Mus musculus: one gene and its partner. The protein of the gene in region 1 binds, or shares a complex with, the protein of each later gene. Links are inferred from orthologs where the notes say so. Each region holds a gene or a part of one and is shown on either strand. Other genes may lie near its edges.

Region 1 (5,203 bases):
GAGAAATTCAGTCATGCATAAATGGCTAGGATGATTCACTGTAAGCAGAAGGGCTGGACTATGCTTCTACATCCACCATGATAATCCAACTACAGTTGGTACATTCATGCTTGTCACCCAGTAAGCAAGCATATGCGAACTACTTAGCAGCCAGCTGTGGCTAGCAGGATTATGGAACAAGGAAAACAACTCAGGGTAGGGTTGCAGACAATGAGCACAGAGATACCTTTCTTGAGTTCTCTGCTAACTCTACAAATATGAAAATGAACAAGCTGGTTGAGAAAAGTAACCAGAGTACTACACAGGTTCTGCCACACAATTGAAGCTGGCTTGGAAAACAAGTAGGTAAGACAGTTCGAGACTCTTACTCATGAGAACAGCACTGCCTCCTTCAATGTAACCCATCCCACTCCAAGATATTCTAAACAGTGCCTTACCTGGTCTAGCAACAGACCCTTGCAGTGCTGTGGCTGGAGTTTCCTTTGGGGCTAAATTCTGTGAAGGGGCTAAGGCAAGAAACAAACAAATAGGTCTTTTACTTTTTTTTATTTTTTTAAATCCCTAACTAAACTAGAAACAAAACCAGCATATTCTTAGAAGGCCATGCTTGCAGGCTTGAAGCTGATCTTCAATGTGTACTTAACAAAACAACTCCTCTAACCTTCAGCAGCAAGGATCTGCTCCTCCCTTTACACTAGAAAGAGCCAGGAAGGAGATGGCCACAAGAACAACTGCAGCCACAACTGTAGGACCAATTTCAGGTTCTGACTCTTTTGTTTCCGTGTGGTTTTCAGACAGGGTCTATCTCAGTTTCCTCAGCCTGGTCTGAAACTCTTGATCCTCCCACCCCAGTCTCCACAGTGCTGGGATTATAAGCATGTGCCACCACACTAGGCCTAATGGCTGTTTTCTTAAAAAGCTGAAAACTATATCTTAGTAAGCAAGCTAGCTTCTTTTAGAATGGCTATACCACTCATCTCAACATTTAAAAAAAAATTATGTAACCCCAGCAGAGATTCTACACACACTCCTTGATTACCAAAACACACAATTCTGTACTTTTCTATAGCAACTAGCAAGAGTGATGGGCATAAAACAGACAATAAATATATACTTAATAAATAAATCAATATAGTATTATTTACTTTTCTAACAAATAGCTATAAGAACTTTCTATAGGCAGCTCACCCTATTATGAAAGGTAAGACAGATACATACAGTGTACTCCACTATGATGTCATATGGAAAGAGACACATAAAATATAAAGTGCCATGGGAGTCCAAAGGAAAAGAATACTCTAGGCTGAAAATGTAAAGGAATATTTCAGGTAGAAATGTCAGCATGAGTCTTTGAAAGACAGAACAGACTTAGACCCTAGAACTAGAACACACGAGACACTCTGGAACACAACTTTATGGACTGTACAGTAAAGACTTAAGGCTTAAGTATGCCAGGGCTATCAAGGGTATGCCTTCCATCTTAACACTATAGCTTAAAATTCTTGATAAACTACAACAGTAAGTTTTACCCTTTGATGGAAACTGAATTTTGTAGATTTCTCTCTGCTTAGTAGCTTAATTGCTGGTTCATCTCCCTAAAACTTATGTTTCTCTACTATCAATTGTGATTCAAATAAAAATATTTTCTAATTATTTCATCATTATTCTCTTAGTATTAAAGGAAAAAGTTCCCTAGAAGGAAACAGAAATGGAAATATCAAGCATCAGAGAACATACTTAAGCCACACCAGTTCCTTCTGGTTTACACAAGGTCTCATGTAGCTTAGCTTGGCCTCAAACTCAAGTCTGTAGCCGAGAGTGGCTCTGCTCTCCATCTTACCTCCTCTCCCACGTGCTGCATGTGTGCACCACCATGCTCAGCTTTCTTTTTAATTCTTATAGTCACCTACATCAACAAAATTCAACCTTGAAACACAGAGCCGTCCCCAGCAAAGTCTCTCTCTCGTAGGGACATTGAACTCTTTGCAGGTCTTCACCCCTTCTTGTATCTCTTTAGGTAAGAGGGAGAAAGAAGGGACGGAACCTTTCTAGAGCTATGTCTGGGGCAGTAAGCTGGCACTTGATATTCAAGTTCTCTCACTGAATCCTACATATCCTGGGTGGTAAAATTATAATCTCCACTTTACAGGTGAAGTACGAGGAACTCACCAGACTGTAACTGGCAACCAGTGGAGCTAAAATTTGAACTCTGATCATAACCTGAAGCTGGTATCCTTTCTGCTCCTCCTCCTAATTGGTAGGCACTCAAAGTATTTTAGCTGCATAAATAAAAGAGGTATTATTAGCTGGCTTAGATACTGCAGAGGCCCCTAGCTATGACTAACTTATCTCTAGGTATGTGGAGCTTCTGCACTACTTGAGCCATACAGGAGAAAGGAGGTATAAAGACACCTGTTTCCAGTACTAACCACTGACCTAGTGCACAAGAAATAACTTGAACTAGATGTCCACTAATGCAGTTTACTAAGAGGCCATGTCCAAAGGAAACAGGCAATAACACTTAAACCATATTACCGTATTTTAGGTTCTGTGCTAAGCATGTGCTAAGCATTCATTACCTCACTGAAATCTTGTGACTATGACTGTCTCCACATTACAAAGGAGGAAGTGAGACTTGTCCCAGCCCATTGAGCTGGCAAATACTGCAAGTCTATCTGACTTTTCCCCACTCAGATCTTCCTTTGCTTATCATGAAATCTGGTTTTCTGGTAAGCTTTTCTGGAGCAGTCCAAACAGAAAGGCCCCTGAGTTAGCATACAGTGAGAACAAGGCAAGAAGTACAATGGGAGGGGCATAAAGAAGTTGTTGTTCACACTCAAGGGATGATGCCAGGCCAGAGACATAAAAGAGTATAGGCTCAACAAATATTAGACATTTCTGAGCTTCAATCTTTTCACCCACAGGAAGGAATAAGACTATATCAATGGTTGGTATAAAGATGATGTGAGATAGTATGTATGAAAATGCTTTTTAAAACTGAGGAACATATATACACATGAAAATGAAACATGAATCAGTTCAGAAGCCAGGAAAGAACCATGTTAATGAATATAAACTGAACATGGCATTTAAAAGCATATTTTTCAATGTACTTTCAGTAAGTAAATCTACAACTGCCATTTTTCTTCTTTTAAGTAGAAAAGGGCTGTGCTTTCTCTCTTGTGGGACAGGCCAGCAAAAACCTGACATGAGGAGCTGATGCCAAGCTCAAGTACATACCTATGCTGGGTAGAAGCTCTGGATGGGATCCCACCTTCTCCTCCACTAGGCCACCTGCAAGTGGCTCAGATGTTACGCCACCATGATTGCCTTTTGTGGTTGGCGCTGTGGAGATGAGCTCAGAGGGTACCAATGTGGTTACTATTGAGCGTACACTGGTGGGAAGAGCACCGCCAGGTAAGATGGGTCCTGTTGAGGTGGAGCTTGGGCCCATGGGGCTAGAGGTCATTTTTAGTAGAGTGGGTGCTGAGGGTGTTGGGGTTTTACTGTCCAGCTCTGTGGAGCACTGCTCTGTTCCCATTAGCCCAGGAGTTGTGATCTCTAGCCCTGGGCCTTCAGTCTCTCCATCTGCACCATATTGTTCTTCCCCTTTCTCCAGAGAGCCTGTAACTTTCTTACAAGCCTTGGTCAGCAAAATCTGGCCAATTTTGTCCACTTTTCCTTTGCCCTTACTGGATGAGACTGGGCTTCGACGATTGGCAGAGGAGCCTGGACTATTGGTCAAAAGGGGAGAAACTACTGTGGTTGGCTGTGAAGGAGGCAGAGTGCTCTGGTCTGCTGAGGTGTTCGTCTGAGGACTAGCCTCATCTGGATTTAATTCTTTTACTTGCTGGACAGAAGGATTAGGAGCGACAACTGGAGAGGATGTACAAGGAGGGGAAGGCAGCTGAACAGGAGTGGCTCGTGAGCTAAGGACCAATGGCCGACCTGTCTGTATATTTGGAGCAGGACTACTGGAGGGGACATTAGGTGTTACAGGAGCTGAAGAAAATTTTATGTTCTGAGGTATGTGTAAAGGTCCAACAACTGCGACAGAGGGAGGCATCAGGCCACTGTTGGTTGTCAATGGGGTTGCAGGAATTGTGCTTGGCTGTGATCCTTTCATAACCTGAATTATTGAAGATGAGTTGATAAAGACAGGTGTAATGAACTGAGGCCGGGCATTAGACTGAGCAGCTGACTGTCCTTCAGAAACCATAACTTTGTTACCCACGTTGGGCATTGTGACGACTGTTGACATCAATGCAGACTGCAAGTGAGTTGGCAGGGCTGCTGATGTGTTAGATGAAGTGGTGATGGGGTTGGAAGTAACAAATACAGTTATTTGGTTTGGAGGTAAGGGAGTAGAAATGGAGGAAGAGCTGACGGGTCTTGACATTACTGGAGGGATGCTTGGTGCAGTGTTAGAGCTGACCTCACTCAATTCTGAACGCGCAAGTGTTGAGCACGGCTCACTACTGTGAGGTGAGCTTAAAGAAGTAGAGGGTTCTTTAGAAGGCGGATCCTGCAGTGTGGGAATGACAGATGCTTTTCTAAGGTCCTCTCCTGAAACTACTGGAGGTGTTACTTCCAGATCTGTAAGCCCAGGGGGTTTAATGGTCACATTAGGAGCTCCAGAGTTGTCAAGAAGTTGGCTTAATGATGTTGGTGCTTCTCTCATGGCAGGAGACATCAAATTTTTGTTCTCTTCAACACTGGGGAGTTTGTTAGGATCCAATGGTTGCCCATCCTTTTTGGATTGATCTTCAGGGACAGCCATTTTAGCTTCTTGGGTAGGGACTACTTTCAGCTCAGTGTTTACCTGCTCCTTCCTACCCTGGGCATTCTGGCAGTCACTGTCCTGAGGAATATTCACACTCTCCTTGTTATCCTCAAGGACAGTCCCCATTGCAGGCACAGGCACCGTGGGATTCTGAGGATTAAGCCCAGTATTGTTAGGAAAGCTTCCAGGTAAAGGGGGATTGGCAAGTGGAGTGGGACCAACCAACACATTTCTAGGCAGCTCCATGTTCTGCAACATGGTTGTGCTTGTTTGAGAAGCCAGAGTAAGTTTAGGAGCTTTTGAGTTTTGCCTTCCAGGACTTGGGGTAGTTTTCCTACTGGACCCAGGACTCGACCTGCGACTGTTGCTTGGACTTGCCCGTTTTGTTGTTCCAGGATTAGACTGTTTTCCAGAATTCAC
Region 2 (6,003 bases), on another chromosome or scaffold:
TATAAATGTGCACTTAAAAACCTTAAAGACGACTGGCAGTGGTGGAGCATGGCTTTAAACCCAGCACTTGGGAGGCAGAGGCAGGCAGATTTCTGAGTTCGAGGCCAGCCTGGTCTACAAAGTGAGTTCCAGGACAGCCAGGGCTATACAGAAAAATCCTGTCTCAAAAAACCAAAAAAAAAAAAAAAAAAAAAAAGAATTCTAGAAAATGTTCTATTCTGTGTTCAGTAAAACTGCCTGAACAAATCCACCACCCTATAGAGAAAAGCCAATACTTTTTATTAAAAAGAGTTACATAGGAAATAATTCTGAAAGCAACATAACAATCTACTTCCCAAACCTCACATTCAAACATACTGATTCTCAGGACAGTTAGAGGATGGATAAAACTTAATAATTTAACACTCATTCTAGTCCGAATTCAATTCAAATAGAAAATGTGAGGTGTTATTTTATCAAGCATAAATTTATATTACACATTTTACTGAAATGTTCATGCTAATAAGGACACAATCAAGATCCACGTAGGTGTACAAAGTACATAATATGGAATGTTTTAGCATTAAAGCTGTTGAGCCCTGATCTAAGTAGCTAGACCCTAAGAAGCCAGAATCAATGAAGATTTTTTTTTAATCAATATACCACCTGAGATTTATAAAGTCATAATTCTTCCCCCAAACAAAATGAAGCTTCACATATTTTTTCATGCTTAACATGTGACTGTATTCAAATACCAGAAAAATAAAATAACACACATTTAGAAAATTTTGAAAATGCTCAATTTTTAAAATGTGAACTCAGTTCATATTAACTGTAGGTTTTACTATTTATGATATAATATCCCACGTTAAGGACAACCATGTGTGATTCTGATAACAAGCATTCTAAGATATGAAAGTAAGAACTAGCACTTTACACATGCACTTAAAACACATTCCACTTATTTCTTCATCACTGTAACCAAAAGGAATAAATTTAGCCTAAATTTCCAAATGAATTATCGCTGAAAGCAACTCTATTAACTCAATTTAAACTAGCAATGTTTACTCCAAAATAAAATGGCCCTTAAATTTAAACACTATATACAGGTGTGTGTACACACACACACACACACACACACATCTTTGGAATGACAACTTTACATTAATCTAATCTTTGTACATAAAATACTTCAAATAGGTTGAGGAAAATCTTGAAAAGAGGGGGCTAACAACTATTTATATTTATATAATTCCAGAGCTAGTTACTGAACATTTTTCCAGCGCTAATTTTAATGAAAGAAAATTAATACCGTCACTGTCAAAGTTCAATTCAAATTTCCTTACCATTCAAAGAAAATGGACCTACCGAAAAAGATTATGACTGTTTTGCCTTATAGTCATTGTCTGCAATCACAAGTTCTTATATTTTGATACTTTAAAATAAAAACGTAATTATGATCACAGATAAAAACAATTAAGGCAGCCAAACCAAAATACATTCAAAAAGTAAGGAGCAAAATAATCAACTTTTTTTAAAGCCGTTAAGCTTTAGTCGCCTTTCTTAAACTTCCCAATTGCAACAATAGAGCTAACAAAGTATCAAATCAAACCTAAAGATTTCCGGCAAAGAAGAAAAGGTCTAATGAATGCAACATCTACCATAGACACTCCAAGTTTGAGAGTCCCAGCTAACAAAAAAACCTCCTCCTACCATTCCAATCACACTTTGGTCAGGAAATATAAACTGAAGTAGACAGACTGAGACTCCAGCCTTTGTTCAATAGCTTACCATGGGTAACTAAATGTGCTACAGGTTGATAAGCATTTACCAGGCGTATGCACGCTATTTCAAAGCTAGAGAAGGGGACAAAAATTCTACATGCAAATAATCTGTGATCATTTTTATTAACTACTGAGCTACATACTCCAAAGGAGAGGCCTATTCTTCTCTGATACTATTTATTTCCCTGTTTACCTCTCCTCCCTCCCCCAAACCTCCCCCGGCTCACTTTCTCCTCCCACCCTGTCCCGCCATCTTGGGCGGACAGAAGCAGCCATTACTTAACTAAATGACAGTACCAACAACTTTGCACACAAATAAACAAGAGACTACACCCAGAATCCTCCCCAACTGCTCCTGACAGACTCACAGGAAACCAAGCTCCAGAAAACGCACTCATACAACTGTGGTAGATCTTTGGCAGAAAGATCCAAAAAGTAAACAAATCACCTAACTTCAGGTAAAGCACACACCGATGATGATACAAGTCAATAACCCCATGCAAACTCTTTACGGACCTAAACTACGTGCAACTTCCCCCTTCAGGGAGCAGAGACAAGAAGCCATCCCGAAATGTTTGACTAAAGCAGGCATCAGGAACAGACTGCCTAAAGAGCCTTAATAACCAGGGAAGATAACGAGCGGGGGATTTAAGGAAATCTACAGCTGTTTACGAACTCATGACCCTCCCTAGGCACCTCAGAGATCATCCGCCTAGCCTCCAAGGGCGGTAAAATCGTAGTCAATTTGGAAGCCCCACATGAGCTTGGCCCCAAAAGCGCCACTGCCTCTGTCCTCTGGCTCCAAGAGAAGTGATCTCTCAAGAGAGCAAGCGAGGTATCAGGGGGTGGAGGGGAGCGCAGTAGCAGGAAATAGTTTTCCGGAAGCCCCTCGGCCGTCTTTCGAGGCCACAATGAGTGGTGACCCGGCCCCGGTGCCCCAGGCGAGCGCGCCTCTGGCTCGAGAGACCGCGTCCGCGCTCCGGCCCGCGGTTTGCCTTACCTTGCCCAGCAGGGCCTTCATCCTGGCGCCATCTTCATGAAACCTCACGAACCCGAAAAGGCGGCTGCGGAGAAAGACACACGCCGCTCGTTAGTGCCCCGGCATCGGCGCCGACCCGTCCGTGCCAAAGCCCGAGGCCCGGGCGTCAGCGGAGCCGAGAGCGCCAAGCCGAGGTGCCCGCCCCACGGCCGCCACAGGCTAGCCGCGCTCCGGCCTCCTCGGAGAGTGGCGCCAGCCTGTCCCGAGCCGCCCGGGCGAGTGCCCGCTCCCCGTACCTGTCCAGTCCGCCGAGCGCCTCCCTCTCCTCCGCTGTCAGGCTGGGGGACGCCTCCTCGCTCTCGCCGCTCGCTTTTCCCGCCGCCATTTTCTTTTCCTCATCACCGAAAGCGGCGGCGGCGGCGGCGGCGGCGGCGGTAGCGAGCGACACTCCGCAGGATTTCATGGAAACGCAGCGAATTCACAACTCCAACGCCGACACCCCCCCTCTCCGGGCCGGAGCCCGCAAGGACGCCTCCAATCTCCGCACAAGACCGGCACACCAACTTTATTTCTGCCTCCTCCTCTGCCGCGAGAGGCGGCAGCGAAAAATCCTAACGCGGTAGAGGTGAAGGCAGAGGCAGCAGAGGCTGTGGAACCACTGGGTCCGGAGCGGCGACGGCTCGGCTGTAGGGTCACATCGCGGGGATGGGAAGGGGGCAGCCACAGGCAGGGTCGGCGGGAATGGCCGGAGCGCGCGAGGAGCGGGAGCTCTGGGGGGGATTCGTAGGAGACACAAACTTCCCCGGCACCAGCACAAAGTTGTTGTAATTGTGTCACACAGCGAACCCCACGCCGCTGCCGTGACCCCCCCCTCACAGCCCGCTCGGCGCAGCCAACCAGAGCAGCCCCTCGCCTCACGTGACCTTTGTTGACTCGCGTCAGTCGTGGCTCCACTTAACTTGCTAGCTGCTTTAGCCCCGCCCACCGAGGCCGCCACAGATCCGAGAGCGGGATGCTCGCCAGTTCTGGTCGGTGGTTGGCTGATAGGCACGTCTGTCCGGAGTAGGGTTGTCACCCAGTGGGAGCAGCCGGTTAGGTTGTGCTACTTAAATACACAGGCAGAGAATGGAGGGGTCCAGGCTGTGTCCCTTCGGGAGCCGTGGTGGGATCGGGGGGGGGAGGGGAGTGCTCAGTCTGGGCGAGGTCCGGCACCGCCTGTAGCGAGCGCCAACGAGAAAGCCTAGGACAGCCTCTGGCTGCCCGGAAGCCCTAGGGTGGGCCAAGACTGTGATTTCGGTGGTCCTGCTAGCGCTCGCGCACTCCGGGAATATCGATCCCGACAGGGCTGGACACCAGCTGAGTCGCGGGGAGGGAACACTCGGCCCCAGACCTCTGCCCTCGGAAGAAGGCGCACTGCTAGAAATAATAGCCTCCACGAGGAGTGCGCCAGAGGAGCAGCAGCCGGCTTCATACCCTGCAGCCTGGGCGCCGCCCTAGACAAGGCCACGCGAAGCCCCATACCCTTTCAAAAGGGGAAGGGGAAAACGTCTCCCGACCCCCGCCCACTCACCCCAGGCAGGGAGGAATGAAGAGTCAGTCGCCTGCAGGGGGTCTGGCGCGCTGGCTCCCGCACCCCACCGCCAAAGGTCTGTCTGTTGGCAGCACTTTCGGGCCAGATATTCCTGCTGCTTGCATATACCCTACGCCCTAGCAGTAATTCGTTATACTATAAAGAAAAAAACAGAAACAGTGAAATTTGTCGAGGGGGATTTCAGAATGTTGGGTTCTGTTGCTGTCATCTCAGTGGGTACTCCATGGAAGAGTAGGAGCTGTATGTGAACTGGCCTTAGAGAAATAGAATCCTCAACACAGCTTCCTGCCAGCCTTTTTCTGCTTCCACTACATAGGAAACCCTTAGCAGTAACATTTGCTTGTTCTGTCCCTCAGGTACAAATAAGTCTGGTGTTTGACCCATAGTATAATCAGGAGATAGACCAAACTTTCCATCGACTATTTTGAAAAGGCAGATATAATGTGATGTATCTCATCACACCTCCAGTCTTTGGGATAGAAAATATTAGTAAATGGACTATATGAAGAAAAGATCCGTTTATAAACCAAGCTTTATATGTTTTATATAAGTTTACACCTGTAATCAATAGGGTATATTTAAATTTAGATTTCAGAATATATAAGTGCTGAGTCAGTAAATCCTAGCTGTGTTCTTCAATGAGAGACTATAAAAGTCCCAACTAATTTTGCAGACAGACAGAGCTTTAAATTGTTGCCTGGAGACTAGTAACTAGATGAATAAACTAGTTTTGTATGGATTATATTTCGTGTTTAATTACACTTTTACAAAACATGTTCTATGGTGTTCTATTTTACTTGACTGAGTGAGTACCAGAGACTGAATATTTTCTATAGCTAAATTAACATACGAATTGTTAAATGTCACAAATGGTGACCTTCAAAACCTGGGAGATTTTTGGCCCCACTACCACATGGACACTTGCACAAACAGAAATCAAACCTGTCAGTATTTGGCCACGTCCCCAAAGTTACTGGTTCCTGATTTAGTCCCTTTCCAAGAATGATATAAGCAACCCATGTCTGAGTGCCTTCCTGCCCTTTAATAATAAGGTTAGAGTTTTAGAAATAAAGTGATAGGGAGGGGTTGGAGTCTAGCTAGCACAGCTGGGTTCTGATCCTTGTGCAAGCTCTGTGACCTCTAAACCAAAGCTGTTGTTTTTGATGTGGAGTAATTCTAGTTTATTGGGGCACAGGTTTTATGAAACAGGGTATTGCTCTGTAGCCCAGGCTGGCCTCTGTGTTCTCCTGCCTCAGACTCCTCAGTTCTGGGATAATAGACACGTACAATCATGCCTGGCCAAACCAGGCCAACTACAAGGATTTATCCTCCATCAAACATGCAGTGTCCATATAAAATAAGTCTTACATGTCTATGTAATTTTTTTGGCATTTACATAGTTTAGCTGTCAAATGTATGTGAAATAAGCATGGAGCCTTTCTCAGTCACTGTCAAAATTAATGCAATTTTAAATTTATGACATACAAAAATGGAAAAATTTTGTTTTATAATAATTATTACTATGGCAGGGCAGTGGTGGCACATGCCTTTAATGCCAGCACTTGGGAGGCAGAGGCAGGTGGATCTATGAGTTCAAGGCCAGCTTGGACTACAGAGTGAGTTCTAGGACAGCCAGGGCTACACAGGGAAACCGTATGTCAATAATAATA

The links.
Region 2: Ncoa6 (region 1) and Kdm6a share a complex: the UniProt entries of both Homo sapiens proteins name them as parts of the MLL2/3 complex. The link is inferred for Mus musculus from reciprocal best matches to the Homo sapiens genes NCOA6 and KDM6A.

Annotation. Positions count from the first base shown.
Region 1 is NC_000068.7:155,402,235-155,407,437, forward strand, and holds part of Ncoa6 (nuclear receptor coactivator 6), read right to left. Parts: coding exon 3,241-5,203; intron 507-3,240; coding exon 438-506; intron 1-437. UniProt on the Homo sapiens protein: Nuclear receptor coactivator that directly binds nuclear receptors and stimulates the transcriptional activities in a hormone-dependent fashion. Coactivates expression in an agonist- and AF2-dependent manner.
Region 2 is NC_000086.7:18,160,208-18,166,210, reverse strand, and holds the start of Kdm6a (lysine-specific demethylase 6A), read right to left. Parts: upstream 3,637-6,003; 5' UTR 3,206-3,636; coding exon 3,039-3,205; intron 2,828-3,038; coding exon 2,764-2,827; intron 1-2,763. UniProt on the Homo sapiens protein: Histone demethylase that specifically demethylates 'Lys-27' of histone H3, thereby playing a central role in histone code. Demethylates trimethylated and dimethylated but not monomethylated H3 'Lys-27'.